Linked DNA regions of Rhinolophus ferrumequinum. The protein of the gene in region 1 binds, or shares a complex with, the protein of each later gene. Links are inferred from orthologs where the notes say so. Each region holds a gene or a part of one and is shown on either strand. Other genes may lie near its edges.

Evidence for each region.
Region 2: EXOSC4 (region 1) and EXOSC1 share a complex: the UniProt entries of both Homo sapiens proteins name them as parts of the RNA exosome core complex. The link is inferred for Rhinolophus ferrumequinum from reciprocal best matches to the Homo sapiens genes EXOSC4 and EXOSC1.
Region 3: EXOSC4 (region 1) and EXOSC3 share a complex: the UniProt entries of both Homo sapiens proteins name them as parts of the RNA exosome core complex. The link is inferred for Rhinolophus ferrumequinum from reciprocal best matches to the Homo sapiens genes EXOSC4 and EXOSC3.
Region 4: EXOSC4 (region 1) and EXOSC9 share a complex: the UniProt entries of both Homo sapiens proteins name them as parts of the RNA exosome core complex. The link is inferred for Rhinolophus ferrumequinum from reciprocal best matches to the Homo sapiens genes EXOSC4 and EXOSC9.

What each region holds. Positions count from the first base shown.
Region 1 is NC_046297.1:72,919,466-72,927,586, reverse strand, and holds EXOSC4 (exosome complex component RRP41), read right to left. Parts: upstream 3,334-8,121; 5' UTR 2,856-3,333; coding exon 2,685-2,855; intron 1,662-2,684; coding exon 1,455-1,661; intron 1,355-1,454; coding exon 995-1,354; 3' UTR 955-994; downstream 1-954. Other genes in the region: OPLAH (5-oxoprolinase), read left to right, coding at 7,727-8,069. UniProt on the Homo sapiens protein: Non-catalytic component of the RNA exosome complex which has 3'->5' exoribonuclease activity and participates in a multitude of cellular RNA processing and degradation events.
Region 2 is NC_046299.1:26,347,090-26,354,627, reverse strand, and holds the start of EXOSC1 (exosome complex component CSL4), read right to left. Parts: upstream 3,054-7,538; 5' UTR 2,999-3,053; coding exon 2,968-2,998; intron 2,861-2,967; coding exon 2,745-2,860; intron 825-2,744; coding exon 750-824; intron 1-749. Other genes in the region: palmitoyltransferase ZDHHC16, read left to right, coding at 6,808-7,050, 7,201-7,395. UniProt on the Homo sapiens protein: Non-catalytic component of the RNA exosome complex which has 3'->5' exoribonuclease activity and participates in a multitude of cellular RNA processing and degradation events.
Region 3 is NC_046295.1:53,395,187-53,402,683, forward strand, and holds the start of EXOSC3 (exosome complex component RRP40), read right to left. Parts: upstream 3,131-7,497; 5' UTR 2,894-3,130; coding exon 2,570-2,893; intron 1,802-2,569; coding exon 1,652-1,801; intron 1-1,651. Other genes in the region: uncharacterized protein LOC117031691, read left to right, coding at 4,488-4,526. UniProt on the Homo sapiens protein: Non-catalytic component of the RNA exosome complex which has 3'->5' exoribonuclease activity and participates in a multitude of cellular RNA processing and degradation events.
Region 4 is NC_046301.1:4,659,543-4,667,494, forward strand, and holds the start of EXOSC9 (exosome complex component RRP45), read left to right. Parts: upstream 1-4,720; 5' UTR 4,721-4,839; coding exon 4,840-4,905; intron 4,906-5,205; coding exon 5,206-5,300; intron 5,301-5,978; coding exon 5,979-6,098; intron 6,099-6,202; coding exon 6,203-6,305; intron 6,306-7,187; coding exon 7,188-7,325; intron 7,326-7,952. UniProt on the Homo sapiens protein: Non-catalytic component of the RNA exosome complex which has 3'->5' exoribonuclease activity and participates in a multitude of cellular RNA processing and degradation events.

The DNA.
Region 1 (8,121 bases):
GAAGGCTCTTAGAATCATAGAAGGGTGAGGAATTAGGGCAGGTGGATGGAAAACGCAGGCGGCGACCAGGGCCTGGATGACCGGGGATTCTGAAGGCGCTGCTCCCGACTGGAAATGACAGTTCTGAGTGCCCGTGGAGTGGGTTCCGGACGTAAGAGGGCTTCTGTGAGCCGACCAAGGCGTTGGCATCCTATGGACGCCTGTCACCACAAATGGCCGTGGGTGCCTCAGTGGAATCACAGCGTGAGCCTAGCCCCCAGCTTATGGAGTCAGATGACCAAGGGAGGACGGCGAAGATGGTAGGTACTACCAGCCAAATCAGGGTTCGCAGTGGCTGCGGAGCACTCCTGTCCAGGTCAGGAGGTGACTGGCATTGTGGGGGAGAGGCAGTCTCTGGATGTGGACTACAGGGGCTGATGGTCTGAGAGCAGGAGGTGGAGGAAAGGGGGCGTCTGCTAAAGAGTCAGGTGCAGTGATGGGGAGGAGGGTGTCTGTGTCTCACTGGGGACCGGTCAGAGCCGAGAGAATACTCCAGGTGAGAACATGTGTCTGTTGAATTTTTGGAGCCCAAGGTAATTGCAGCATAGGCCCAAAGAGTTCCATTTGGTCCAAGCCATAGTCCACAGGATGTGGGACATGGCCCCCCACATCTCCAGGGTGGGCACCCAGCCGGCTGAGCTCCCCCGCAGCCCTGTGCTCAGGGCCCCAGTCTACTACTGGCCTAGCTCACCAAGCCAGGCCCCACCTGACTGCTCAGCTGCCTTGAACCATTCTGGGCATAAGCTGCTCTCTCCACCCACACACTCGCCCCCACCCCCAACCCCCGCCCCTTCTTCTCCAGGCTTTGAATCCTGAGGCTGCAAGAGGCATGTAGTTCATGTGCAGGGTGGGTCCCTGGTCACCCCCAGGAGCCAGGCTCTGAGAGCACGAAGTGCCGTGGGGCGTTCGAAGCGCTGTGGACTGTGGGTTTTATTCTGGGCATGGGGGCCGATGCTCAGTCCCCCAGCAAGACAGAGGCCTCGCGCACATGTTGCCGGACCACACGGTCCAGCAGGGCATGCACATCGCGGGCAGCCCGCGCCGCGGCCTCCAGCACCTGCTCCAGATGGTCCTCATGCAGCCTGGCATCCATCTCCAGCAGTGCGATCTGGCCTGAGGCAGGCAGCAGGGCCAGGGCCAGCTGGGGGCCACCAGCAGCTTCCTCCACGTGGCTGAGGTCTGCCAGAGGTGTGCCGTCCACAAAACCGGCTGAGCAGGCGCACACAAAGTCCCGCATAGGCACCCCAGCGTCCAGCACTGCCAGTGTGGCTGCGTTCACACAAGCTGCATAGGTCCCACCATCTGCCTGGAGCACCTGCAGGGACCCCCCCCCCAGTGGCATCAGTGCACTGGGCTGCCGACCCTCACACCCTTCCGGTCCCTGGGGGGAGGGCTGCTGCCTGCTCACCACTCACCTGCACATAGATGTCAATCTGGGAGCGAGGATGCAGCTGTGTCAGGATGGCCGCCTCGAAGGTCTGACGCAGTTGCAGGCCCATCTCACAAGACTTCCGATCCCCATGTGGCCGCCGCTTGCGCTCACCTGTGCTGAAGGTTGCAGAACTGTACTGACAGTTCACCAGGGCCCTGTCTGGCAGGGCTCGTGCCCGGGAGCCCCGGATCTGGGGGGAGAAAAGACACATGAGCCAGGCCCATTCCTCCCAGCTGACATTAGCCCTTCTGGCTCAGGCCTAGAACTTCAGCCTCCCTCCTCCCTCCCCACTACCTATAACATCTCAACCAGTGCAACTGAACAGTCTAAGCCACCATCACTGCTGGATCTCCTCTGTCTTACAGGCCTGTTTCCATCCCTGCCTCATCCCCTCCCAACCCAGTTTCCATTTGTAGCCAGAGCCAGTATGTTTACAAATATCAAGTCTGCTTCTGTCTCCTCTGCACAACCACATAACCTGCTCACCTTCCAAAGGCTCCCCATCACATGTGAGATAAAACCCTGCGTCCTACCCCTGGTCTACAAAGCCATCGCTAGAAAGCTCTCGATCTCATTTGGAATTATTCCCCATCTGCCCCAGCAGCAGCCTTTCTGCTCCGCAAACGTGCCACGCTTGTTTCCACCCCCTCTGGCCTTCCCCCTCCTAACTAGTCTCCCCCAGGAAAGCTGGGCTCCTAAACTCATGCGCTAAGCAAACTTTTTTTTCAGTGCCTGTGCTAGCAGGCACCGTTACGGCGCTGGAGACATGGCACTAAAACAGGCGGCTTTAAAGTCCCTCTCCTCCTGGAGCTTATGTTCCAGTGGGGAGACCAACGAGAAAGAGAAGTTAAATTGGTGTCTGAGGTGACAGATGCTGAAAAGCAGGGAAGCGTGTGGTTGTAGGGGACGGGACTTGAATAAGGTGGTCTGGGGAGGTATCATCCAGGCCGTGAAGTCGGAGTAGAGAGGTGAGGAAACGAGGGGGAGCGTGCCTGGCGCCTTGCAGAAGAGCATGGAGGAGGGGAGGGCGCAGGAGACAGTGGCCGGTGGAAAGGGCAGGGACCACCGTGCACCGCGGCGTAAGGACTTCCACTTTTAGTCCGATTGAGCCTCGGCCCGGAAGATGTGCTGCGTAAACGGAGACGCGCCGGCCGCCGCCTCCCGAGCCTGCGCCCACCCGCCCGCGGTGCCCGGCTCGCGCACGCCCACTCGCCTCGTGCGGCCCGTAGACCACCGCTAGCGCCTTGGTGTTGCCCTGCTCGATGTAGGCCGAGCCGTCGGCCTGCGCGAACACGCCCATGCGCGCCTGGATCTTGCGCAGCTCCCCGGCACGCCGCCCGTCTACCCGGTAGCCCTGGTCCGACAGGAGCTCCAGCCCCGCCATGTTGCTCTGCCGCCAGACGCCTCTGCGCGAACTACGGTTCCCGGAGGCCCGGATCCCCACTTCCGGTCTCCCGGAAGTCTAGCGTTTCCGGCGGGCCGGCTCCCCGCTTCCGGACTCAAAGTTACGGTCCCGGGTGGCGTCATTGTCCTCGTTGCCGCCTTCGGGGGACTTGGGCGGTGCTGGCCCAGGAGGAGAAGGCTGTGCCCGGGGCCGTTTGGGGAGCTTTTCTGCGGCCGCCAGGGCTGGAGACCCGCGGGAGGCAGGATCCCCCGACCGCGTCCCTATGTCACGGGGCTGTTCTCACGGCGCCCTGGTCGTCACGCCGCGCCTGTGCCCCGCGCCGGGCTCGGCGTTGCTTCTCTTTGAAGCCTGGAGTCTCCTGGGAGGTTCGCGGGCGGGACCAGCGAGGGCTGGAAGCAATCCTGGCTTCGTCCTTACGGGCTTCCAGTTGCTCCGCAGTCGTAAATACCCATTCTCCCAAGTTGGGACACTTTCCTTCCTGTTTAGTGTTTCCTTTTGTCCATTTAAAAATAGACATAATTTTATATTATGCATACACATGGGCACAGTTCTTTTCAGAGCAGTTTTTTTTTTTTTTTAAACGGGACTTTATTGGGGAACAGTGTGCACTTCCAGGACTTTTTTCCAAGTCAAGTTGTCCATTCAGTCTTAGTTTGTGGAGGGGGCAGCTCAGCTCCAGGTCCAGTTGCCAGTTGTTAGTTGCAGGGGGTCACAGCCCACCATCCCTTGCAGGAGTGGAGAAGTTGAACCTGCATGCCAGCCTTGTAGTTGAGAGACTACTGGCCCATGTGGGAATCGAACTGGCAGCCTTCGGAGTTAGGAGCACGGAGCTCCAACCGCCTGAGCCACCGGGCCGGCCCCTCAGAGCAGTTTTAATGTTGTTTTCCACATTGGCTTGGTTTTTCTGTCTGCACACCCCCTCCCCCCATTGACTTTAACCTAATAAATGGTCATTTGCATGTTTTTCTCCGTACATACAAATTATACACAAATACAGGAAGTTGTATGGGTATAGCCATAGTGGCTTTTGGAATTCTGGTTGTTTTTTAAAATGGGGTCATTTCATACACATTCTGTTTTTCACCCCAAAAATACCTTATGAAATCCATCTAAATTGTCCTGTGGAACTCATTAATATTTTGTTGGCTGCGTGAAACCTGTGGGGTAGTTGTGCCAGGATGTATGCCCCGCCACTGCCCTTCGTGGGGCATGGCTGTGTGTCCTCAAGTCCAGAATCCGCCCCTTCAAAGGCAGTTACTATCGCTAACCTCTTCTGTGCAGCTGTCACGCTAACTTGTTTCTCTGCAGGTCTGGTAACTTTTTGTTGAAAGCGAAACACTTTAGATAATCTATGCAGTGGCCCTGGACCATGAGTAGCCAGTCGCTCCATGGGCTATGTTGCTGTTTGAGTAGTTTATTCGTTTAGTGGCTTGTCTGGGCCAGTGCTGTGAAGTCAGTTTCCTGCCAGTGTGCAGCTGCTGATGTCACCTCCCAGCCCACCCCCTTCCCCCCCACCCCAGTGCTTATATTTAAGGGTAGCTCCCCAACATCTGGGTTAGCATGGCTTAGGGTTCAGCCCCCTGTTGGGCAAAGACTGCTTGAGCTCCCCACCAGTGAGGCACTGTCCTCTGCTGCTGGAGAAAGATTGCCCCCTGTACAGCCAGTGTAATGGGCGGCAGAATCCCCGCCAAAGACGTCCAGGTCCTGATGTCTGATAGCTGTGAATGTTACTTGTATGGTAAAAGGAACTTGGCAGATGATTACGTTAAGGATCTGGGAGCTTGTCCTGGATTTTCCAGGTGGGCCCCAAATGTAATCACAAATATCCTTTTAAAGTAGAAGCAGAGGGAGATTTGGATACGGAAGACAGAAGGTGAGGTGACCACAGTGACAGAGATTGGAGTGATGTAGCCCAAGCCAAGGACAAGGGAAGGAAAGAATTCTCTGGAGCCTCCAGAAGGAATCATTCCTGCTGACACCTTGATTTTAGTGCGTAACACTCAGCTTGGAGTTCTGGCCTCCAGAACTGAAAGAGAAGAAAGGTCTGTTGTTTTAAGGCTTCCAAGTTTGTGGTAATTTGTTAGAGCGTTCTCGTAACTGCTCGCCACTAAGGTAGCCATTGTCTTCCACAAAACCACACAGCCTCCAGAGAAAGCCAGCCTGCTCAGCCTTGCTGTGGAGCTGCTAGCCTCCCAGCCCGCCGCTCACCCTGGGCGGGAGCGGGTGGACGCCTGCTTCACCCAGAGCAGTGCCCCATATCTATGGGGGGGATGGGAGGCGTTGTCCTTCCCAGTGGAACCTCCACCCTGCAACTGGAGCCCCGAGTTCTGGCCTCTGCCCCCTTGGAGGAGAGCCTTCAGAGTGGGGAGCTGGGGTTGGGCAGCAGCAGTTTCGGGCTCAAATGCCACTGATTCCTGCTGCTCTTACCAAGACTTAGTCGACCTCCTGGAACAAATGCTGTTTGCCCTTTGGTCAATATCCAGAGTGAGAGGGTCACTCAGCCTGCCTGGACATCCTACCCCTGCCAGCCCTTTCACGGTCAAGGCTTGGCACCAGCTCGCTGTCACTTCCATCACATTTCTCTGGTCAAAAATAAGGCACATGGCCAGTTCATTCCACGGGATGAGAAATGGACTGCCCCTTGAGGGGAGGGCAGCACGTGCATCTTTGGGTTGCAGGAATTGGCTGCCCGGTGGGCACACCTTGCACGATCCCAGGACTGTGACTAGAATGGATTTTACGCCCAACATTAGGTTATGTTATATGGCGAGCTGAGGTATCCTGGCTGAGCCTCACTTCACCAGGTGGGCCCCTCGAAGGGGTGAGGCCACTGCCAGGCTCCTCCGGCAAGGTGGAATGGGTTGCTTCTGCCAGGAAGGAGGGCGCATAGCAGTTGGGAGAGTAGCTACTCAAAGTCCCATCCCAGGTCTCACAGTGCTGACTTCCATGGAAGAGTACACATCGTTTCTGCCTCTTTTATCATCAAGTCCCAAGCTTCCTTCAACTGGGAGGCTGTGCTAGTTTTCTGTTGGGTAACAACTGATCGCGAAGCAGTGGCTTAAAAGTGCATCCGTTAACTCACAGCTCTGTAGGTCAGACGTCTGTGAGTACAGTGTCTGCACTGAGTGCTTGGATTTGAATGACTGTCTGATCCGACTTCCTTTCAGCATGAACAAATTTCTTTAGTATTTCTTGTAAGGTAGGTCTGCTAGTACCAAATCCTATTTTTGTTCATCTCAGACTGTCTTTATTTCACCTTAATTTCCAAATGATCGTTCTCCAGTACACTGGGTAGGATTCTTGCTTGAGCTTTTTAACGACTCCGAGGATGTCATCCCATTGTCTCTGGCCCCCACTGTTTCTGATGGGGAATTAGGTGTTGGTCTTCTATGTGATGAATCATTTTTATGTTGTGACTTTTGAGATTTTCTCTGTCTCTCAATATTTTGACTGTGATATTTCAGCTCCTAGAGGCTGTCCACATTCCTTGCCACATGGAGAATCTCCCTGGCATGGAATCTCTCTTACACATTGCCTCTCTTTCACCAGGAAGAGGCCTGTCCTTCGAGGGGCTCACCTGATGAGGTCAGACTCAGCCAGGATACCTCAGTTCGCCACATAACACAACTTAATGTTGTTCGTAAAATCCACGCCAGTCACAGTCCTGGGATCATGCAGGGCGTGTCCACTGGGCAGGAAACCTTGCGCTCTCATAGAATTCTGCCCCCACAGCTCACCTTCCAGCTTCCAGGGTGTCTGAGTTGAAGTTGACTGGTCCGAGCCTGTCATTTTTTGGGGGGTAATATCACTAGTTCTGTCAGAAATACTGTACTCCATAATCCTTAGACTTAGGGTTATTTCCGAATTATAGGAACCATTAAAATGGTCATTATTTCTACTGAGATTAAGTGCAGCTGCCACCATGTGTCCTGGAACACTGCTCTCAGAGGTGTCACCCCACAGCCGGCCCCAGTGAGAACTCCCCACTGGAAGTCACCATGCCACACTGCAGCAGCTGGGAAAGGGCCACGCAAGTTCCAGGAAAACCTACCGGTTAATGAGTAGAAACTGCACTGAGCAAACCAGTTAATAGGAAACGATGATGTGAAATAAGCGATAAACGTAACATGAGGAAAACACTCAAAATGACGGCAACAGAACTGTCCCGTTAGAAGACACACTCCATGAAGGAAGTCCTTCATATGTTGGAAAATGGAAACCCAATTGTCAGCCTTGGGGGTGGCTGCCCGCCCCAGGAATCTGCTGTCCTCAGACCTGTCATGGGGCCTGCCTGCTGCCTGCCCCTGAATGGAGGGCCACGTCCAGGGCACCACCCTCCATGTGACAATGCCACTCCCTGTACCCCTGCAACAGGCCCATCTCTTGGCCTGCAGCCCCAGCCTGGCATGCTCGCTGGCTCACCGCTGCTCTTGAGCTCTGACTAGCTGAGTTACCACTGTCCAGCTCCTGCTGCTGCTGGGCCAGTGGCCCCTCCCTCAGGGCAGCTCAAACACCCTCCCTCCTGACCCTTCAGACGCTGTGCTGGCCATAACCACCTCGGGGACCGTGCCCAGTCACCCAGCCCCACAACCTGGCATAGGCAGGTGGGGACGGGCAGATGGGCAAGTGGGGATGCCTGAATCTCGACTCCCTTCCCTGCAACACACCCGTACTGGGCAGAGATGAAGGAGTTTCTGTCTTCCAGGAGGGGTCTTCCTAGAGGGACTCCAAGGCCAGCGCCTATCTGGGCTGCGCTAGTCATTTGGCCCTGGGGGAGGCTAGACATCAGCAGTCCGCACGCCCTGCTACTGGTGGTCAGAGCCACTGGGCCGTGGCTCTGAAGCCCCGGAATGTGGCCGAGGTGCGGGGGCAGGGGTGGCACTGACCTCACAATGCTACGCTCCGCTGTCCCTGGCCAGCCCGCCAGCTGCTGGCCGCTGCTACCCCCACGGCCAGGCATGTCCCTCCTCAGCAGCTATGAGGGCCTGCGGCAGGAGATCCAGCGGCTGGCGCAGGAGAACGAGGAGCTGCGCCAGCTCGTGCAGCTGCTCCAGGAGAACCAGGAGCTGAAGCAGGTGCTCAGAAACCGCAGCGGCAGCCTGGGCTTCTGCGGCTCTGGGCTCCTGGCTGAGGTGACCTCCAGCCCGCGGCTGCCCCGGCACAGAACCATCAAGTTCAAGGGTGCTGAAAGACGTGAGCTGCGGGGGGGGGGGGGATTGGGGGGGGTCGGGGGGGGGGGGCTCTT
Region 2 (7,538 bases), on another chromosome or scaffold:
GACACAGGGCATTATAGCAAATCTAGACCTTTAACAGAGGCCTGTGTAGTGGATGGAATTTAAGTGTACATTTCAGCTGCTGCAATAACATCTGGATTACTGCCTCTCTAGTTATTTTCAGAATTACACATAGATTTTCTGCTGGAGCAATGTATAAAGAAATAAACTGAGAGCTCCAAGTTAATTTAACTTGGTAGAGGGTAGGATGATATATTATAGTTACTGATCATTACAGTATTAATTTGTACTTCCCATGAAACATCCTAAAAGACTTTACATTTAATAGGAACGCTACAGTATTCAAGTCTCTTGCTTCTCTGCAGAAAAAGGTCCCACTTCAGAAGTTCAAAAATAGGCCTCCACCACCCTTTGGTACCCCTAGTTCCCAGACACAGGTAAAAAATATATATGTACTCAGGGAACCAGCTCTGTGAAAGAACTACGCAAGCCTGACTTGGCTGCCTTGATCATTATCCTAGAAATCTCTAGACCAGCACAGTCCAGTAAAACTTTCTGTGATGATAGAAATGTTCTATGTTGATCAATATGGCAGTCACTAACCACCTGTGGCTAGTAAGCACTTGAAATGTAGCTAGTGGAACTGATAAATAAATTTAAAATTTTAATTTACTTAAATTTAAATGGCCATATGTGGCTAGTGGCTACCATATTGAACAGGGCAGTTCTACACAGATCATGATTTCAGCATTGGACAGGTGCCCTAAGCAGGGAAGTTAGGACTAACCTACCTTACAGGTTACAATAGTCCCGACATCTGGCAGTAACTGGGACTCTGTTTCTCTCATTACAGACACGACAGGAAGCTACAAAGAAAACAATAAAATGTGAGTATCCTGGCTAAGCCTTGGGTAAAGGTATTCGTGGCTTGAGAATAATATAGAAATTCCTTAGTTGAAGTCATGAGGGCAGGTGGAATACAGATACATTTGTAGCCTAGAGCAGAAGCCTAGACATTTTAGGAAATAGGAAGGCCAAGGGGCCACAGGAAGAATGCCGCTAAAAGATATAATGTAACCATTTCAGATTAGTTCTAACAAGTTTTTGGTGATTTTCTTGGAATTTATTGGTACATAATTATATGGCCTATAATCGTGGATAAATTTGACTCTTTTCTCCAGGTATACCGCTTCTTTCTGTTTCTCATTTTATTGTATAGGCTAGAATTTCTAAATAAATGTTATGTAATAGTGGCCATACTTGTTTACTTCTAGTTTAAGGGAATACTTGTAGTTTTCTCTTTGAGCACGGCATTGACTATTGGAATAAGATAGATAGTATTTCTGAACCTCATCTTTTATTAATCTCGTCCTTGTTCACTATGCTTCAGCTCTCCTGGCCTTCTTTCAGTTTCATCAACTCACTAAGTTTCTTTCCATCTCAGGATGTCTGTTCAACCTGTTCTTTCCGCCAGTACTAAGTCCTCCCACCCACCCAACTCTTACGTATTCTTTAGATTCTGGTTAAATGTCACTTCCAGTGACTAGGGTGGGTTTGCTTATGATGACGTTCTCATGGTATCCTGTCGTATTCTTTTAAAGCAGTCATCGCATTTGAACACTTATTTGTTTACAATTTACCTGTGCCCCTTGACAGCAGAGATCATGTATATTTGGCTCATTACCATCCCCTTAGAGGTCACTACTGAGAGTGGCACATGAACATGCTCAACAGATACCTGTATCTATGAAATGAACAAACTGAGGAAGGTCAAGGACATTCCCAAAATTGACTGAATAAAAAGCCTCTCATTTTACAGATGAGGAACAACGGAAACCCAGAGAGTTTGTTTCTTACATAAAGTAGAATCAAGGTTTAGTTAGCCAGCACCTAAGAGTGTTCTAATTCTGAATCCTCTTTCTACTATGTTACCTGTCTTTAAGCTGTTCCTTCGAAGTCTGCTTATCTGATCTTGAGTTAATCCTAGACCAGCCTCCAGCACAAGGATAGTTTTACTAACGCACTCGACAAATGTTTATTGAACAGTTACCTTGTGGTACTCTCTGAGTTATGGTGGTAAGGCCTGCTTTCATGGATCTTGAGTTTAGTAGGAGAAAAGTCTAATGGGGAACTGAGTGTTTAATTATATGCTGAGATAAGTGCTTGGAAGGAAAGGAATACAATTCTTTGTGTTTAACAAAACACACAGTAAACAAAAACCAAAACTCCTTTCCTCAGCTAGTGGACAGGTGTCCTAAGCAGGGAAGTCTAGGAGGGCTCCTCTGAGAAAGTGAGACTTAGAGAGGCTATCTGAAAGATAGGTAGGGATTAAATAGGCTAAGGAGGAGAGAGGAGCGTGTTCCAGACAGATGGCGTTCCTATAAAGGTTCTGTGGCAGGAGAGAGCTTAGTGCGTTAGCGACACTGAAAGAAGCCTCTATGACTGACTAGACTAGATTGCAGTGAGGTGGGAATATGGATGAAGCCAGATAGGTAGGTGACATTCGGGCAGGATTCAGCAGCTCACGGCAGGGCTGCGCCCACCTCTGCTCTTCCCTCAACTTCCTCTCCTGAGTGTCAGGAACACAACCAAGAGTGACCAACACAACTAACTGGGCTGCGCTAAGTGTCCAGCAGCAGGGACCACAGCTGGAAGAAACTTAGAGACCAACTCTTCTACTGGTGAAGCTCTAAAGACGCGTCCGCGGAGCCGCTGCATAAGGACTGCGAAATCAAGGGCAACCTAAGGGAAAAGCAGAGACAGAGGAGGTGGGAAGCCGCCTTTACCGCGCCATTCTCGCTGCTTTTCGTCATGCAGCCAGCAAGCGACGAAAAGATGTAGCCGTGCCGGGTGTAGGTGCCGCTGCCTGGGCTGGCCTCCTCCAAGTTACAGAGCCGTTCGCCTGCAGAAAAAACGCTGCATCAGCCACGTGTGCCCAGAATCTGTTGGCCATCCAGCCTTCCTTCCTCTGTCCCTATCCAAGATTCACAATGGGCACCCCTCACTTACCGGGGATGCAGTACCTCACGGGTGGCGCCATGACTATCGCTGCCCCAAACCCCGAGAGAAACGAAGCCGACTTCTCATTGGCCCAAATCCAGTTCCTCAGTAAGAAACGCACCAATTGGTGCTCTTGTCACGTGATCTCCGGGAAGGCCTTCTCGAGGGGTGAACTACATTTCCCAGATCGTCCCGGGCCGAGTCCGGGGGAGGAGCTCCGGGAACGCGTGCGCTTGCGCTTGTGGTTGAGGATGGTCTGGCGGCGGGTCCGGGTCCGCAGGCTGGCTCTGTGGGCGGCGGGCCATGGTTGATTGGATTGAGCCGGGCTGTCCTGGGGCGCGGAGCTGGAGGGGGTGGCAGTGAGCAGAGGCTGCGGGCTGGATTTGGCTGATTGGGGAGTCGGCAGGCGGCAGGTAAGAGCGAAGCCGCGGCCTTTGCTCCCCAGTCCTGTCCCTTTTTCTAGGGTCGGGCCCTGTTCCGGGGCCTTATCGTGAGCCCGGCTTCCTGCTGTCTCCTCGCCTAGCCCTGCACGTCCGTGCCCTTTTCGTGCCCTCCGGGCAGCCGTAACGCGCCAAGTTGAAAGGCCGACCAGCCCACGTCGCCCATTTCACAGATTTACAAACTTAGATCCAGAAATAGGATTTGAATTATCCAGTGTCTCGAAGATAGTTTAAGGTAGAGCACAAACCGGAACCCACATTTTTTGACTTCCAGTCCATCACACTTTAACCATACCACCCTCATTGAGAAATAAAACCATGCCCCGGTTTTTGTAACTGCAGTTTCCGATCTTACAGTCGTATCCTTTCAAGAGTCGTGTGGGCCATTCCTTAACTTTTTCTCATCCCAGCGTGTTAGTCCGAAAGGGAAGTCTGCACATGAATAAAGTGTTGCTGTTACTGATGGTTGACAGTACTGCTGGAGATTGCAAACGTCCTGAGCGCAGCATCTTTGTCCAGATGAGAGGTGTCACGGCTTTCATCAGTTTCCTCTGCCGTCTGGTGGCTTTGGAATCTGTTTTTCCCTGTGTAAGCCGCCATCCTCCAATCCCATTTCCCCTTGGGAAACAGATGGTGACTTAGAGCCTTGAGAAGAGGAGTGCGCCATGGCCTGCAATCCCCTCTAATCTGGTGGCAGATGTCCCTATGGCCTGTGGTTACTACTGAGGGGTCAGAGTGCTCAGGGCTTGTACTTGGGGTGATAGTGAAGCTGTGCTTTGCTCTTTTTCCTTCCCTGGTCACTCTGGTCATCCACCCCTCACCATCCCCTTCACAATTTGTCAAGTTCTGCTTTAACTGAGTTTCCTGAGATGAAAACTCCGTATGTTCAGTTGTGACCCCGTGGACTACAATACATATCTCTTCCCTGGCTTCCCCAAACCCCACTAACTAAAATGAGTGGGGGGCTTGGCTTGAGACTTTATTCATTCAAATCTGATATGTAGCTCTACATCTACAAGTTTACATGTTTGGGTTGATTTTTAGTTGGATAGACTTGTTTTCTAAAATGCCTTCTAGCTCTTAAGTGCTATGATTCTAAAAATGAAGACTAATAGCAGCAGACACTTATTTAATGTTATCACATTGGCAGGAATGCCCTTGCTGTTATTTATAGGACAGGTAGACATCTGACAAGCCTGTCCACTTCTGCATCCCAGGTCATTCATTCAACAAGTATTTATTGAGCATGCCCATGAGCCGGGTATCATGCTAAGCTCTTTACGAACATTTCATTTATACGTTACCAAGTGTGTATATGGAATCATAAAGGGTTAGACTTGGAAGGGACCTTAGCGTTTACTTCTATCTGCTCACTGAATGGTAACACAAGGAAATTGAGTTCCAGCAGGATTTGGTGATTTGTCCAAGGTCACAGAACCACTTAAGGGCAGAAGTGAACCCTAAGTCAAGTTATGGGGCAGGCGAGAGTTGGTAAGTCTAGTCCTTGAGGCAGGCATTTCCTGTGAAGATTCTGGAGATGATTGAAAACAATCCAAAGAGTGGAGAATCTGAGGAGGAAATTTTTTTTGTTTTTTTTTGTAGACAGAAGAGATGACATATAATTCGTGTTTATTGTAGGTGAGGGATATATCTTATTTGCAAGCTATTGCTATAAAAAGTATTTAGCAAATAGGAAACTCGCCATTAGCCATAGTAAGGGACAATCTAAGTCATTTGGACTTGTTGTGGTGTAAAATATTTTGTCCCACTTTTAAACATTTGATTATGGTGGCCATATATACTATTTCAAAAATTCATATTTTCAGCCAAATCATGGTTCCAAACAATAGGAGTCCTAACTCAAAGGAGGTAGGAAGATTGAGTTTTCATTTTCCATCTTCTTCATTGCTTCTTAATTCTCTAGCCCCTAGGAGGTGATATGGGAATGGCCAGTTTCTTTATCCTCGTGTAGAGAGTAGGTCCCTACTGAATTGCCTTTCTTCTCTTTCTCTGCTGGCCTTGTCTGCTGGATTTCTTTTTCCCTTAGGTCGTTACAGGGTTTGTGGAAGGAGGTAATTAACTGTCTTTGAAAGGCCTCTTGTGGTGATGAGCCAGGATGCAAGGCGAGTACTTTGCTCCAGTTACTGCACTGAAACCATCCTACAGTGCAGCCGCCTCCTCCAGTTTCTGCTGGGTTTTGAGCTGCCTGTTAAATAAGTCAGTGGAGTTGCTGAGGACAGTACTCTTCGTAGGGGAAAATCAGATGAGTTCTTTTCTAGTAAGGACTTTAATCTGCAGAATGAGGAGACAGTCATGGAAGGAATCTGTCTTCTCTTGTGGGCATTGCCTGGGCACTGGCCTCCCACGGCTGTTGGCTGAGGTAGAAACCACATGGAAGAGATGAAGGCACTTGCAGAGGAGCCATACAAAGGGCTAAAGAGCTGGGAAGGCTGGTTGGGAAGCTTGGGGCCAAGAGCAGCAGCGGCAGAGGCGGCTCTTGAGTGTAGCTAGAACAGGGTGGGGGCGACTCAACTGCAAGGGCAGGCCTTGTGGTTTTCATGAGCCACCAGCATGGAGTCCTCCTCCCCCCGCCACTTCCCCTACCACCAGTATTTTCCTGTCAGTGGTGTTATTCTGCTATGAATACCCAAAGTTGTCTTGGCTTCTGTAGCCTTGGGGTAGGGCTAGGAATGGAATTGAGACAAAGCATCTTACGTCGTGCGAGGCGTAGTTGAGCTGTCCTGACAGGACATACTACCAGGTTGGGTCTGTAATGTCAGCCCAGAGAGAGTAGGAAGGATGAGTATATTTTGCCAAGACTCAGTACCAGGGAAGAGTGAAGTGCAGGGTCCACACGCTGTGTAGCGCCCCCTTTCCCCCACGCTGTTCCTGAACGAAGAGCAATTGTTAGGAAGTAGGTCGAAGGGCCGGGACAGGTGAGGGCCCTGGGAAACCCCTGCTGCACTGGCCATACCCACAGAGACACAGGGGGCAGTGTTGTGTACATTGGCTGTACTCCACCCAGTGGGCCGTCTACACAGACAACTCCAGAGACCCTGCTTTGGCTTGGAGCTGCCTACCTGTCCTTCGCCTGTTTATTGTGGCCCTTTACTCTAGGTGTGCACTGTCTGGGATTTGCTGTGCAACCACACGGTGTAATGTAAGTATGATTTCTGCCTGCTCAGAACCTGCACACCCTACTCCCTGTCATCTGGTTGGGACACTGGCACCATACATTCCGTAGAGAGGTGAAGTGACTGTCCTACTTCCCACAGCTGGTGACTGGCCCAGCCAGGCCTCAGTCTGAGGTCTTTGCCTCTAAGCTGGTGCTCAGGCTCTCCCCATCGGTGGAATAGGGAGGGACGGCACCCAGGCTGGCCACCCACAATGGTGTGCTCTCCTAGGAGCCATGCAGGGCCAGCGGAGCCTGCTGCTGGGCCCCGCCCGCCTCTGCCTGCGCCTGCTTCTGCTACTGGGCTCCCGGCGCCGCTGTCCCCCTCTGCTCCGGGACCTGGTGCGGCGCTGGCGCTATGGCAAGGTCTGCCTGCGCTCCCTGCTCTACAACTCCTTCGGGGGCAGCGACACCGCTGTCGATGCTGCCTTTGAGCCCATCTACTGGCTGGTGGACAACGTGATCCGCTGGTGTGGAGTGGTGAGTGACGCTCCGGAAGAGGCCTGTTTGGGGGCGGCAGAGGGACCTGTGTCTGAGGGACCCGCAGCAGCCCCCACTGCAGGGACATCCTGAGTTGCTCTGGGTGTTGGCAGGCTCTCCCTGCATCTCCCCCCTCCCTGGTATTGGCAGGTGTTCGTGGTGCTGGTGATCGTGCTGACCAGCTCCATTGTGGCCATCGCCTACCTGTGTATCCTGCCCCTCATCCTCCGCACCTACTCAGTGCCACGGCTCTGCTGGCATTTCTTCTATAGTCACTGGAATCTGATCCTCATCGTCTTCCATTACTACCAGGCCATCACCACTCCACCTGGATATCCACCCCAGGTGGGTCCCCACAGGGGCTGGGGCAGGGAAAGGGCTGCAGGCCCTGGGAGCCAGTCCCAGGAGTGGTGGGGGGAGAGTGCTGTGACATCTTTCGAGGTTTGACAGTCACGCCGCCACAGTTGTCATACTTCTCTTTCTTTGCA
Region 3 (7,497 bases), on another chromosome or scaffold:
CATTAACACATGTACCCTCCTGCTTCACCCACCAGAAATCCCCAGACTGGGAGCCATCTCAAAGCCAGGAAACACACTCTAGGGTTACACTGTCCAATCTGGTAGCTGTTACCCACATGTAGTTATTTACACTTACTTTTAAGTTAATTCAAATCAGACACTAAAAATTCATTTCCTTACTTGCATTAGCCATATTTCAAGGGCTCAACAGACTCCTATGGCCAGGGGCACCCATACTAATCAGTGTGGATGTAAAACAGCATCATCACAGAAAGTTCTATTAGCACTGTTCTCGGGAATTACAGAAGATTGACAGAAAAGTTACGGGCACGGGTATTATTCAAAGCAAAATGGAAAATGGTAATACAATGACACTTCTCCATGCAAGATTTACGTGAAAACCTCAGACTTGAACTTCAAAATGATGAACTAAGGAAATTGAGAATGAACTTGTTCTGTTAGTACCTACTATTTGTTGGTGACTATAGGAACTAGAAGGAACAAAACATTCTCTGCCTTTCAGAAGCATTTGGTTTTGGAGGGCAGTGGAGATGCACATATAAACAACAAACTTCATCAAAGGCTGAATGCAGTAAGTGCTAGAGCAAAGTTATAAGAAAAAGTGACTGAAGATTACAGATGGTTTTACAGAAGTGTTGGTGTTTTCCTGGGTCTTAAAAGATGAGTTTGTGTTCCACAGGCTGAAAAGGGGACTAAACAATCCAGACAGAGAACAGCCTGAGTAAATGTACATGGGCAGGAAATTATGAGTTCAGTAGTGCTGTTACATAGTTTGATGTGGTTCAAGCATAGCTGTATGAAGATATAATTATGGATGAGGGAAGACTTAAGAGTATAATGCCAAGGAAATCTGTATGCTTTGAAGAAAGCCTACAGAGTGTGTGAGGCTCTCAGTGCTCACCTCTCAAAATCCTGGATGGAAGGGCAAAGAGTACAGGCAGGGATGTTAATGAGAAAGTAACTGACCAACTCTAATCAAGAGGTACCTAAGGCCTGAACTTGCAAAATGGAGATGCAGGGGTGGACTTTGAGATAGAATCAAATAGGATCAATAGGATTAACCAACAAAAGACATATGTAAGGTGAGAAGGGACAAAGAAACCAAAATTCTGGTTTGGTTGTACAGGAAATGTGACTATGCTACCTGAAAAGCCCAAATAGAAAACTTGAGGAAACATGACTACTCCTCTGTCAACTCCAGGAAGATTCTTGGGAAACAGTGATGTGACTGAAGTTGTGAGATGACAGTCCCAGGACATACAATCAGGATGGATGGATGGTGGATAAGGCAATTTGCACCATTTATCCCTCCTTCCTTCCTAAGCCCATGGCTTGCTTACTTCTATGTCCAGTAGATATGGACATAACAGGTAACAGAGAGAACAGATATAACCTTTCAACACAGTTGAGATGAAACAACCCCCAATGTAGCAAATGTAATATAAGTATGTGGCTCTGGTCCCAGAGCTGGAGCATCAAAAGGAACTCTTGGAGCATGGAGTGATCACAGATGCTCGAAGATCATCCTATACTGGGGGAAAAGGTCATGCTTTGGAGACAATTCAGATAGGCTTCTGGATATGTGGATATGTGCTTTTCTTCTTTTGAAACCAAAGGTTGCCATCTTTACCTGCACATTTGGTCTGTTTCTTTTAGTTGCACCTTCAAATGCCAAGTAAGACAAAGAAGCTGGCTCACTCCCTCCAACATCAACTTTGAATGTATCTCCAGATTTAGCTGTCACTATGCCAATCACATGGTCTCCTTTCACTGGAACATACTACGAAAGAAATCAGAATGAGTACAACCATAAATAACAATCATTTTCAAGATATCTTTGAAGATATCTTCAGCAGATCCTTAGTGGTTACTTTATTATGTTCGTCACTAGGGATATTTAGAAAATATTTTGAAATCCTGGTTTACAAATTAATACAAATCTTACAACAAACTTGATCATATGCCACTTTCAGTAAAAGAAAAACAATCACATCATGTAACTCTCAAGTTTACAGCTTCTAATAGTCTGTTCACTTGAGCAGGTATCCCATACATCTTCAGTATCCTTATCACGAAGTCCCTAGCTTCTGTCTGCACATAAGTCCAGTGGCAAAGGGGGTCTTCACAACCAAGAAAGACCATTTCATCGTTAGACAAATTTTCCTATATGAAATTCTTACTTATTCTAAGAGAAACAACTCCCTGTGATACCCTCATTGATAGTTCTACATTTTGGGACACCCTCGTGATAAGCTCGGTTCTCCCTGACTTTTGGGATTTTGAAGACTATGACCATATCTCACAGTCCTTATCCCTTGTATGCCAACATTTCCAGATTCCTTTCCCTCCCGGTCGCCCTTCTAGAGCCACGTACCAGTTGTTCAGTCTCTCTATAGGAGATGCAGAGATGGACCCAGACACGCTTGGCCCTAGGCTAGCCTTAATACAGGAGGGCTCCAGCGCTCCTTCCCTGGCTCTTCCCAGAAGTCTTCCCAGAGTGAGGATACCACTCTCATGGCCGTACCACTGCTCCGGAGTCCCAACTCACCCGTTTCTGCTGCGAGTCTACCCAGTAAACGCCGCCGCCGCTACCGCTGCTGGGCTCCTTATGTCGGAGGCGGCCACACTTGGTGACCAGCAGGCGGTCGCCACAGCGTCGCAAGCCCGGACCGCACACAACGCGCACCCGGGAGCGCGCCCCGGCATTTAGGCGCAGCGGTTGCTCCCCTGCACCTCCCGGACCATCTGCATCCTCCTGCTCCGGCAGCAGAAGCTCCTCACCCGGGAGCACCACCTGACCTAGGACAGTGCGCGCCGCCCGCGCTCTGCCACCCCCAAGGGACTCGCCCGCGACAGCCGCCGCCTCAGCCATCCCGGGCGCCACCAGTTTCCGGCTTCCCCTTCTAGCACCGCGTCCAATCGCAGCCCGCCCAAGGCTTTCCGTTTTCGGTAGTAGCGGTCTGTTGGACTTGAATCTACGTCTGTGAAGCCTGATCCCTGTAGGCCGGCGGGTCCCTCCAAGGTAGCTGTCGTGTCTCTAGCCGGCTGCCTACCCTGCAGCCTGCAGGTCAGCACAAGAAACACGCAGCTCGAGTTGAGCGCAGAGCCTCTACTTCCGGGTCGCACGCTGGGATACAACACGCTCCCACTTAGGGTTCCGAGCGAACTTTGGGCACCGCGTAGAGTGGCTTCCGGAGTTGGCCCTACCTTCCGACTCCGCTCTCAGAAGGAAAAAGTATCTTTCTTTTACAAAGTAAAACCTTTTCTGTTGTTGCTAGAGAAGATATCTATTCACACTACGGAAAACAGAGAAGAATAAAAAGAAAATAAGAAAAATAAAACATACTAGGCTTGCACCCATTTGTCTCCCTTGCTAGACTGTCATCTACTTCTCATTCTTTGTAGCCAAGGGTGTGGCTCAAAATAGGTAATACCTGATGAATGAGTGGATGTTAACATTTTGGTATGTATTTCTCCCTAGACTTTTTTTTCTGTAAATATAAACATATCACATGTACGTTTCCACATAATTTAGCTACCCTTACATGGCCTGGGAAAATCAGTAACTGCAGTTGAGTCCTTGCTTCTCTTTTCCCGGGAGCACACTTTAGTTGCCCATGTAGAAATAGCTGAATTCCAAATCCATAGCACTTCAGGTCTGCTCTTCCGACTTTTAGAGCTCTTAACTTGAAATCACCATTTCCTCTGCCAAATGGCACCTCCAATTAGAGCTTCATCAGATTCCCAGCAGGGGTGAAAACTCTTAGGGAGTCGCTTGCCTCTGCTCATCTTTTTGAGGCATCTGCTTCCAACGCAAATTTTTAGATTTTTAGGATTTTTAAGACAGACCATCTATAACATGCCCCCAAAATCTGGCAAGATATTGGTGAGCCAACTCAATAAGAAATCAACTGAAATGTAACTTGTGTTGTTTTGCAGATTTTAAGAACTGTTCTTGGTCACTTACCCTGGCAGAAGAGGTGGTGCAAATTCTTTCTCACCTTCCCACTCCAACCCAGCTCCAGAGGGCCTGGAACCGGTAGGTATCGGTGACCAAAACTGCTTCGAGTGTGGCTGGCCCGAGACGGTGCCCGAAAGGTGCTCAATAACTTAGGATCAGGGCCAGGCAGACAGGGAGATGGGGAAGTAATCCCAGGATTGTCCGTCAAGCACCCCACATCAGTAGAGGAGACTCTGGAAAAAACTGCCCCCACCTGTCGAAGGAGCTCCATCAAGTCCACTTCCCTGTAGGGGTGGCACACAGGCATCCATCCAGCTCTCCCGCAAGTCAACAGATGAAACCAGAGGCCAATAGTAAGTCCTTTCCCTGAAGACCGGAAGTTCCGGTCCCGAGGGGCAGGTCATCAGGACCACGTGGGCCAAACCTTTCCCGACACACCCGGAGGGGCGGGACAGAGGGCTGAACGCACGGGGAAGGCAGCCTGGTCTCTGCGTCGCGTGCCGCCATGCCTGTGCTTCGCAGCCTGGGCGTCTTGCGGCCTCTGGTAAGTGAGAGAGCACCACCGGGGTTGATGTGCAGGTTTCTGGGGATGCGAGGTCCACCCGCGTGCGGGTGGGTGGGAAGCCAAGATCGGAGGGAGGGCGTGGAGACCAGTGGGCTTCGGCCACCCGCGGTCTGGTCCCAGGGTCCCGGGGGGTTGCAGTTATGAAGTTTGCGTTTCCGAACTGTGTGTGTTACCTTTTCGTGGTGTGCAAGTGGCCGCAGCAATTGAGGAATGCAGTCGCAGGCACACTTCCGGAGTCGAGACCACGCCCCGCTCTCAGCCCGCGCATGGGGGCTTTCTGGTGGATCTGCCCTGTGTGGGGGCTTGTTGCCTGGGAGTCAATGCAATAGGGGCGCCATTCTCGACTCCCTCTGGAGTATACCTCCTCATTTCTGAGTATTTTCTTCGGGAAACTACCAGATTGCCCTTCAGAAAAAGGTTGGACCGGAACACGGTCTTCTAGACTCTTTCCTCAGAACTTCGTCGTTAGTAATCTTTCTACTTTAAGGAGTTGGAAAAGTGGAATCTCACGGTTGCTTTTCTTTGTTGATTAGTGAGGCTAGGCGATTTTTTTCTTTTCAGTCTGCAACACTAGTTGAGCCTTTGCTGGATGATGGTTCTTGCCCTGAGGGGGTTCACTGTCTTCACAGGAAAATACCAAGCGTTACAGTGGCTGTAGCAGCCTGATTAGTGTCAGCCCTAAAATTACAAAGGATAAAATAGTTACAGTACCTCTGTGTGGGAGGAAGGTAGGGGTCAGGATAGGTGTGCCGAAAGAGGTACTATTTGAGTGAACCTTTAACATTTTTAAGTTTACTGGTTTCTAAAAACTACAAATTAACTGCATGCTGATTAAATTAATAGCAAAAGACTCCATGGAAGTAATGTTAATATCTTTATTCAAGTAAAGGATGTAAACATAAATGCTCAGAATTACTACTGCACAAATGAGCATCTACTTGCTACAGATGCTTTTAATCACAAAGAATTCTGTCTATGAAGAACTAAAGAGAGCTTTAAAGAGTGTAAGAGTAGATATAAGAACCATGTATTACCCCGAGTACTGAGATAGAGCACCCAAGAAGAGCCCCTCCCCCTTGGAATGACTGACTGAGACCTTGTTGGAGAGGGCATGGCTATGGCTCATTAAGTGGCAAGAAGTCACTGGTAACCTGTGCCAGTGGAACTTGCTAGAAATCCACCCTCCAGAACTTGCTGGCATTTCGAGGATGCTGGGGAAAGCTGTTCCTGTGGAGGGGTCTCCTAAAAACCTGTTACAAAACTTTTAAGGTAAAATGGCTGGCTGCTGGGTTCTTCAGGCCACCAAGCAAAACAGGAGCAGATACTGGAGAAGCTGCCCTGCAGCTTCAGTGGAAGTATACCAGAGAGCACACTGCAGCCAGGAAGCAAAACCTATTCTTCCTGCAATGCCTCTGCTGGGCCTTCTACCTATAAAGCTTATCTTCATGATAGATAGCAAAGGAAAAATATTTTAAAGGCCCAGATCCATTTTCTCAGAGCAGGCAGTGAAGGGTGAGTGTAGAGCTGAGCGGCAATATATTGATAACTGGCCCAAGGTCTCATGAGGTTGTAAGATCAACAAACTGGTCAGTAACAGCAATAAGATAGATTCTCACCAGCTCTGGATGGCTTCACAGACAAATTCTACCAAACATTTGAAGAATTAATGCCCATTCTTCATAAACTCTTTCAAAAAAACAACAAAAAAAATTAGAATAGGGAACATATTCCAATTCATGCTATGAAGCCAGAATTACCGATATCAAACCAAAGATACCACAGGAAAAGAAAACTACAGATCAACATCCCTTATGAATATAGATACAGAAATCCTCCATAAAATACTAGCAAACTGAATTCAGCAACGTATATAAAGGATTATACACCAAGACCAAATGATCCCAGGATTGCAAGTTCTTTTAACATCTGAAATCAATTAATGTAATATACCATATCAATAGAATAAAGGACAAAAACCACATTATCATCTCAACAAATGCAGGAAAAAGCTTTTGAAAAAGTCCAGTACCCTGTCATGATTAAAAACACTTAATAAACTAGGATTAGAAAGGAACTTAAAAAAAGGGCATCTGCAAAAAACCTACAGCTAACATCATACTTCATGGCAAAAGACTGAAAGCTTTTCCCCAAAGATAGGAAAAAGACAAGGAAATCTGCTCCCTGCGCTTCCATTCAACATTGTACTGGAGATTCTATCCCAGGCAATTCGGCAAGAAAAAGAAAGAAAAGGTATCCAGATTGCAATGGAAGAAGTAAAATTCTCTATACGTAGGTGATACAATCTGATATATAGAAAACCCTGAGGAATTCATTTAAAAAAACATTAGAACTAATAAAATGAGTTCAGCATGGTTGCTAAATTTAAGAATAATATACAAAAATCAATTGCATTTCTGTACACTTGAACAACCGAAAAATGAAATTAAGATAACCATTCCATTTACAGTAGTATCAAAAAGAATAAAACATTTGGGAATAAATTTAACAGAAGAAATGCCAAACTTAAACTCTAGAAACTATAAATGTTGTTAAAAGAAGTTAAAGATCTAAATAATTGGAAAGGTACCTCGTGTTCATGGATCAGAAAATTTAATATTGTTAAGATAATAATTCCTATCAAAATCCCTACTGTCCTCATTGCAGAAATTGACAAACTGATCCTAAAACTCATATGGAAATTCAAGGGACTCTAATGTGTGTGTGTATACACACACTTATATATACACCAGTATGTGTGTGTGTGTTTATATATATACATATATATATAAAAATATAAATACTGGAGGTGCCAAAAAAATGTATACAAGTGGACACTTTGGTCAGCGTTGCTCAAGCAGTAGTTCGCGGTAATCAGAAGTGTCTGGACCCTGATGATAACCACTTTGAGCACCTCTTGTAATTGCAGAAGTCAAACATGACTTGTATTCAT
Region 4 (7,952 bases), on another chromosome or scaffold:
CTAAATGTGGGCTGAGAGCTACTCCAAGCGCTTTGCACATAGTATTTAATCCGCAGCACCACTTTATGAGGGTATTATTAGCTGCATTTTTTTTCCAGAAAGGTTTACACCTTGCCCAAGGTCACCCAGCTCATAAGCTGCAGCTGGAAGTTCATCCAGGCCATTGGCTCTGGAGCCTGAGCTCCTTATCTATTAAACTCCTGCTCATGAAACCACGTCCACGTGTGCTAAGTACTTGCTAAAGAACCTCAAAGAAGTCACCTTATTTGTCTCCAGCAACCTTGCTCACATCCTATTTGATCATCTTGAATGCCACACTCCACTTACATACTCCTTCATGCCCACATTTTCAGGCTCCCTCAAACGCCTCCTCATCGGAGACGCTCCTTCCTGATTATGCTCTCCTGACCCTCCTCTTCCCCTGGCCTGGCTTTACTTTTCTTTATATCACTTATCACTGTCAGCCATTATTCATGTGCTTGTCTGCAGATGATTGGACTGTCCACCTGTCTCTATAACATAAGCTCTAAGGGACTGTGACTATTGTGTGTATTGCATTGTCCCAGTGCTTAGAATAGAGCCTGGCACATAGTAGGACCACAGGAAATACTTGTATAAATGACTAGATTCTTACAGAGTTTTACTTCTTACACAATCCAATTTTTACCAGTGATATCAAATGAAAAGTAAAGAAAAATACCACCATCAAACATAATATATAATCTCTATAATTTCAATCTTCCCTCCCAGCCCCTGTTTATAAGCAGATACTGGTATTTTACAGATAAGTACTCATAACTGAGATTCTAATACGCATTCTGCCTTTTCAGATAACATTATTGGATCAGATTAAAAAGTCCATTACTGGATGGATTTTTGTCAATGACTTTCAACAAACTACATTTTCAGGCTCAGTTTATTTATTTACTTTTTAAAGCAAAAGCAAAGTTGGCCAAGGCTTTTCCATTTGCGTCCTAGAAGTCATTATTTCCCCCTGCAATTTTTATTACCAGTGGTAGAGATTACAGTTCTAGTCCATTAGTACTTAAGTAGAGCAAGATTCTTGAGATACAAACCAGGCTTTCCTTTCAGGCAACCCGTTAGATCATTAAAAAATGTCCTGGTCACTAAAGAAAGCACACTTCAGTGACACAGATCTAGCATTTTATGTACCACAAATTCCTTCGCAAAATGTTTCAGCAGCCTTTTGATGAGCTCAGAAGTTGCAAAGAATGTCAAATGGAGATTCCTTTGCACTATCAACAAGATGGAAACAGGCCAGTGAAACATGAAAGAAAGAAGTAGTACTTACCTCAGGAGAGTTGGTTCTCGAAATTGCTTTATCTGCCTACTGATTCTTAGCAGCTTAAACAACACACATTCATCACCAAGTTTCTATGAGTCAGGAAACTAGGCAGAGCCAAGTGAGGTCTGCTTAATGGCCTCTCTTAGGGACGCAATCAAGACATCAGCCAGGGCTGGGTCTCAACTGAAAGCACAACTTGAATGGACCTGTCTGCAACTCACCTACGTGATGGTGGGCTGTACTCAGTTTCATGTGGGCTGCGGATTGTGGGGCTCAACACCTCCATGGCTGTTGGATGGAGGACACCCCCTCACATAGAAACTTGCTTCACAAACCCAACAAGGGACAGAATCTTCTAGCAAGATAGAAGTTACATTCTCTGCAATCTAATCACAGACGTGTCATCCCCTCCACGTTGAGATATCTATTGGTTAGAGGCAGGTCACTGAAAGGGGGAGGATTACACAGGCCCTGAATACCAGGAGGTGGGCATCATGGGGGTCATCTCAGAAGCTGCCCACCACTGAAGTTCTCTCTCAAAATAATGCTGCATTGCTCGCTAAAGAGATGTGACACCTACCACCTTCTGGCCTGGCTGTCCACTGTTACCTCACATAGAGTCAGCATCGTCTGGGGTTCTCCCACTTCTCCTGAAGTAGCTGCTTCTGCAACAAACTAAGCCTCCCTTCCTAGGCAACTTAAGAAAGAGGAAAACAAGAAATAAGGTAGAAACTTCCCCTCTTAAATCATTAACTTGAGTAAAGAGTCAATCAATGATATAGGTGCAACATCCCTGGGCTTTGGGGCTGAAAGAGTGGCTAAGGTTGTACAAATGACATATTCTGTAAGTCTCTCCATGAAGAGCCAACACCACTTTTGCACGTCCAGCTTCTCCTATGGCTCATTGTTAGCAGTTCAGTGCCAGTCGCATTCTCTCTCGTGTGCAAGCTGTGGAGTTACAGTTGGACCTGCTCACGTCTCTGCATTTATGAGCCCTACTTCATCACTGTACTTCTAATTGCGTGCCAAGCCTAAGCACAAGAAACTGAGTTCAGATAATCTAAGAACAGCAGCTTTCTTCTCTACATAATGTCAACTGTAAAGTACTCAAGAGAGGAAGTCAAGATCCTCACAGAGACAGCAAAAGAACTCGTTCAGGGCTAAGGCGAAGATCACCCGCTTGGCACAGAAATGGGTTCCCATTTACGAGACGCAGTACAGCGCAGCGGTTACGAATACAGTCTCTTGAGACAGACCGCTTGGGTATGAATCCTGCTCCTAGGATTCACTAGCTGTGTGACCCTGGGCTGTGTGACTCTCTGTGCCTTGGGTTCCCCCCCCCCCAAAATAATACTTTTACCTACCTTACAGGGTAATTATTAGGATTAATATTTGTAAGTGCTTAAATTAGGGCCTGGCACATAGTAAGTGTTATATGCATGTTTGCTAAAAGGAAACGGCTATAGGTTTTCACTTCATGCGACTTCCAGTTTCTGGTCCAACAGTAGTAAGCTTGGAAGTGGTCACTCCACACAACATGACAAAAACTGAGCAAATGAAAACTCTACACCTTTTCCTAGATCCATCACAGAAGTGAGATCACAGGACAAACTACTGCCACATGATGTGGAGAGGCAGGTAGGGGGTACAGGAAGGACACGGACATCTGAAGAGCTACCGTGTCCAGAACACTGTGTTAGGTGCTTTCATCCCCACCACTTAACACAAAGCAATTATTATTTCTAACCTAAAGAAGCCCTCACTCAGCAGGATTATTTAACTCACCCAAAGTCCATTTGAGCTGAAGTATATCTGAAACCAAAAGTCTATTCTTCCACAGCCAAACTGCCTCCCAGGATAGACGGTTTCAATAAAGGCCTATTTCATTTCTGAAGGGAAAGAGAAATTACTAAATGTCCATAGAAGAATCCAAGGATTTAAATGATGAACTTAACCAGGAATTATAGTGAAACTGTACTATAAATACAAACTTACATTGTTAAAGAACTTAAAGGGCCTGTACCCTGTATTCTTCCTTATTTTGAAAACCAGTCCACGATCTGAGCTCGTGGACATAATTTCTGTGCACTTTCCTCCTACTTCACAATTCCTGTCTCCAGACAATGTCAGCTCATCCTATCTCAGTCTTGGCTAATGTTGCTTCCTTTGCTTGAAACACTTTTCCTTTCCTCCAGATGGTATCATGGCTGTTCCTTCTCATCACTAAGGATTTACTTAACTCAAAGGTCACCTCTCCAAAGTGACCTCTTCCTGCAAATACCCCTATTAAAGTAGCATCCCCATTCTCGGATAGCACTTAGTCCGTGAACTTATTTTTCTTGCTTGTCTCCTCCAAAGAGAATATAAATTCCTTGAGGGACAGTATCTGTCCACCCGGCTTATCCAGCACTTGAATTATTCTTGGAACACAGGAGGGCCTCACAGATAACTAGGTACATGAATTGCAAGTGTTACAAAGTGAGACTAAAATGCATCACTGATAGAAAAAAAAAAAAACCTGTAAGAGACAAAAGAAAGGAATAGAGCCTGCCATAGGATTTCCAGTGCCTACCGCCTCTGAAGCAAATAGAAACAAAATAATGCTATGCAAACATGTCAGTAATAGCGCTTACACCAGACTGGGCACTGTTCTAAGCATGTACAGACGTCTGTCACTCCAGTTTTGCAGATAAGTACAATGAAGCACATAGGCTAACTGGACTAGGGTCACAGAAGTAGAAAACGGCCGAGTCATTATTTGAACCCAAGTAGTTGGGTTTCCTGCATTTAATACTCCTTGATGCTGCCTCTCCAAAGAAAGCTTAGTGGTTTGGCAGCAGGGACACGCTGTTTCCTCTATACCCATAAAAATAAGTCAATCGGTTTAAAATAACTGGGGCGACTGTAAGAAATCAACAGCACATTTTGTTCCAGCCAATGGTAGTTATAACACCACTGGTTACGAAGTGGGACAGCCTCAGTTTCTGTCACCTTCTCAGGTCTCCGAGGTTTCACTGCAGCTCGTGGCTCAACTTTCTTCCCCCTCCTCTCCTCCTGCGCCCCTACATTCAGTGTTTCTCCCCTGAATCTGCCGGACACTCTGCCTCTGCAGCGTCCTGGTGAACAAACGTCGCCTTCCTCACCAGTAAAACAGCAGGAACACCTGTGCGGCCCACCCCGCTACAACTGAGGAAAGGGTGCCGTGAGAGCGCCACACTGCAATTCATTTCCATCCCTGACGCTTACTTCCGGGTCCTTCTGTCCCCTACGCTTGAGGAGACAAGACTCAGACCTTTCCGCTCAGAAGTGCGCCCCCCTCGGCGGCCGGGCTCTCGGCGGCCCGCTCGGCCCGCGCCATCCTCGCTGGGCGCGTGCGCACTAGCGGCCGCCAGCCTTCGCGTTCGCACCTCGGGCCGCCGAGCCCTGATGACGTAGAGGTCCTGCGCCTCCCGGCGAGCAGGGTGCGCGTGGAGAAGCTCGGGTCCCCGTCTCCGTACGGATTCCGGTGCCCCTGGGTCCCGGGACCCGACATCATGAAAGAGACACCACTTTCAAACTGCGAGCGCCGCTTCCTCCTCCGCGCCATCGAGGAGAAGAAGGTAAACGGTCCCGGGGAGCTTCGGCTGCTCGGGTCTCCCGGCCCGCGGCAGTCTTCCGGCTGGGACACAGACCTGGTCCCCGCAGGCCCCCGGAGCCCCTGGGGGACGGCCGGTGCGTCCCTCGTCCACCAGGCTTTATTTGGCTACAGGGGGTTCTTTGCCCGGGCACCTAGTTTCTACTTTCCTGGGGCGGAGGCGGAGGATCCCGCTTCCCTCCGAGGGCTTCGCCCAGGGCCCGGGCTCAGAGTAGCTGCCCAGTATCTGTTGAGGTGAATAAGCTGGTGTATATTGTGTTTCCAGCGCCTGGATGGCAGACAAACCTACGACTATAGGAACATCAGAATCTCATTTGGAACCGATTATGGGTGCTGTATTGTGGAACTTGGGAAAACAAGGTAACTTTGGCTTCAAATTAAACATAAGCTCAACGGGGAAAAGTTTAAAAGAACCTAACTGACTTAGTTGTTTACAGAGCAGCTAACAATCCTGCACGTTATTTTGTTTAGCTGCAAAAATAAGTGTATTTTCTTTAATGCAAGGTGCTTTATAGTCACGTTTTAAATTTTAAATCGTAAATGTACATTCTGTCACATGAATTTGTTTCCTTCAGTTGTCAGTAAGTAGGTCCTACTTTCCTTTTTCCTGCGTGACATGAGAATTAGATTTTTAATATTCATTTGGCGGTTGTGAGGACGTTGGTCAGATAATATTGGCCAACCATGCATGCCATAGGAAAACTCTTAAGAAATCTCAAGTTTTCGTGCCATCTTGTATCAGTAAATATTTATTTTAGAAAAGAGAAGTTAAGGGGATTTGTTTTTTTTAAAACGATCTGTGGAATAGTCAGTATTGCAATGAGATGTTTTTTCCTGTCATCTCTTTGGGTATGCCACTATGTATCTTATTCCTGTATATATTCTGCCACTACATATGTAATATCAACCTCTGATATATCATGATGAGTATGTTATTACTCAGAATATGATTGAAACTTAATTGGTATCTGTTTTAGTTTTTTTGTTAATTGGAAAGGCAATATATTTAGTTAACAGATTTGTACTTTATCTTTGCAGAGTTCTTGGACAGGTTTCCTGTGAACTTGTTTCTCCAAAACTCAACAGGGCAACAGAAGGTATTCTTTTTTTTAACCTTGAACTCTCTCAGATGGCTGCCCCAGCTTTTGAACCCGGCAGGTATTTTAATTTTCTTCTAAGCTGCTTTAACCAGAGGAGAATCTAATAGCAGTGAGGTATTGTTTTAACGCTTGGTTGACATTAGCCCATTCCTATTTTCATAGGCAGTCAGATCTCTTGGTGAAGTTGAATCGTCTCTTGGAAAGATGTCTAAGAAATTCGAAGTGTATAGACACTGAATCTCTCTGTGTTGTTGCTGGTGAAAAGGTGGGAAATCTGCTCAAAATTCTTAATCTTAGCATGAGTATTGTTGATTACGTTAATTCTTAGAGCTTCTTTAACTCAGGTTTACTTCACTTCAAATGTTCCTGAGAGCCAGCCATAGAACTTTGTGTCATTTCTCTGTGAAGGAACAAAAAACATTGATAAAAGTAGCAACTTGGATTTGTGAAAAAATGTCTTACTCAAAGAACTTGCGGTTTTTCATATGTCTTTATTTATTTTCTTATGTTGTTTGACTTGATAAGCAGATGGTTTCCTTTTTTTAATGAATGAAAAACTGAGGAACAGATTAAATCCTTCATTTGGATAGGTTTATTGACTTATACAAGGCTACACAGTGAGTCCGTGGTAGGCTGACATTGGAAATCTTACTCTCAATAAATTATTCTGCATGATGACATTAGTACTTTTTCCTTGATTAGGGTATTTCGACCATCTTTTGTGACTCCAGAAGTCACTTAGCCTTTCCACATTCCATACTTGAATATGACACTTCCTATTTGCATTACTTGTAAGATTATCATTTGTCAAGTAAAACCTAAGGGTTTGAGGTTTTTAAGTTAGGAGACAATAAAAATATAATTAGTTTTGGAGATAGGGAAATCTTAGTGTTAAATGTAGAATGGCTCTATATATTTAGGGCTTATATTTTGCTGTTGTGAAATGATTCATATAAAGGTGAACTGGTGGTATTTCAGATATTGGTCTGGCTTAACATTTTTCTAAATACAGTTTTATTGATACAATAGGAGGAATAATCACGTTTTAACAGCAGAAGAAAAATTTGCATACAGTGTTACTTTTCCTTTTAAAAGGCCACTGGTTGTGATCAGTTAGGATTTATTTTTGTTTTAAATTCACATTCAGGTTTGGCAAATACGAGTGGACCTGCATTTATTAAATCATGATGGAAATATTATTGATGCTGCCAGCATTGCTGCCATTGTAGCCTTGTGTCACTTCCGAAGGCCTGATGTGTCCGTCCAAGGAGATGAAGTGACACTGGTAAGCTCCCCGATGTGAGCTAGGCCTCTTTCTGTGAATGAATGAATATCCTTCACGTGCAGGCAACCTGTTAGTAGTAAAGGCTTGTAGATGGAAACAAGGTATGTTCTAAAATTTGTTCGTAAAGAAAAACTACCCTTGAAACTCTTAGATCTCCTGTATTGAAATGTCTGTCAAAAAGCACACTCTAGCCTGGTTTTCTAGAATAGAACGAGATGATTTCTTCTTTGGACCAAGCATTAGATGGAGTGTTTAGGGGCCACATGTGAAAAATACACTCTTCTCAGCACAGTGAGATGGTCGTGCTTACTCTGTGGCGAAGTTCATCAGAAATACCTGGCCAGTTTGTTAAAACATTGCTAGGCTTCACCCTCAGTAGGAAGGTTAGTAGGACCTATCAGTTTGTACTTCTATCAGCTCCCAGGTGATATGGATGCTGCTGGTGCGAGGACCACATTTCGAAAACTGTTGACCTATGTAGTTTACATTGTCTTTATGTTGAGTATGTCCATTTCAATTTAAGTAAATGACATGCTAGAATAATGAAAGTGTACTGTGGTGGTAGATTGAGTCCTGAAGTTACAAAAGGAAACATCGGAGGCCCGAATTCTCTAAGCAGTCATTCAT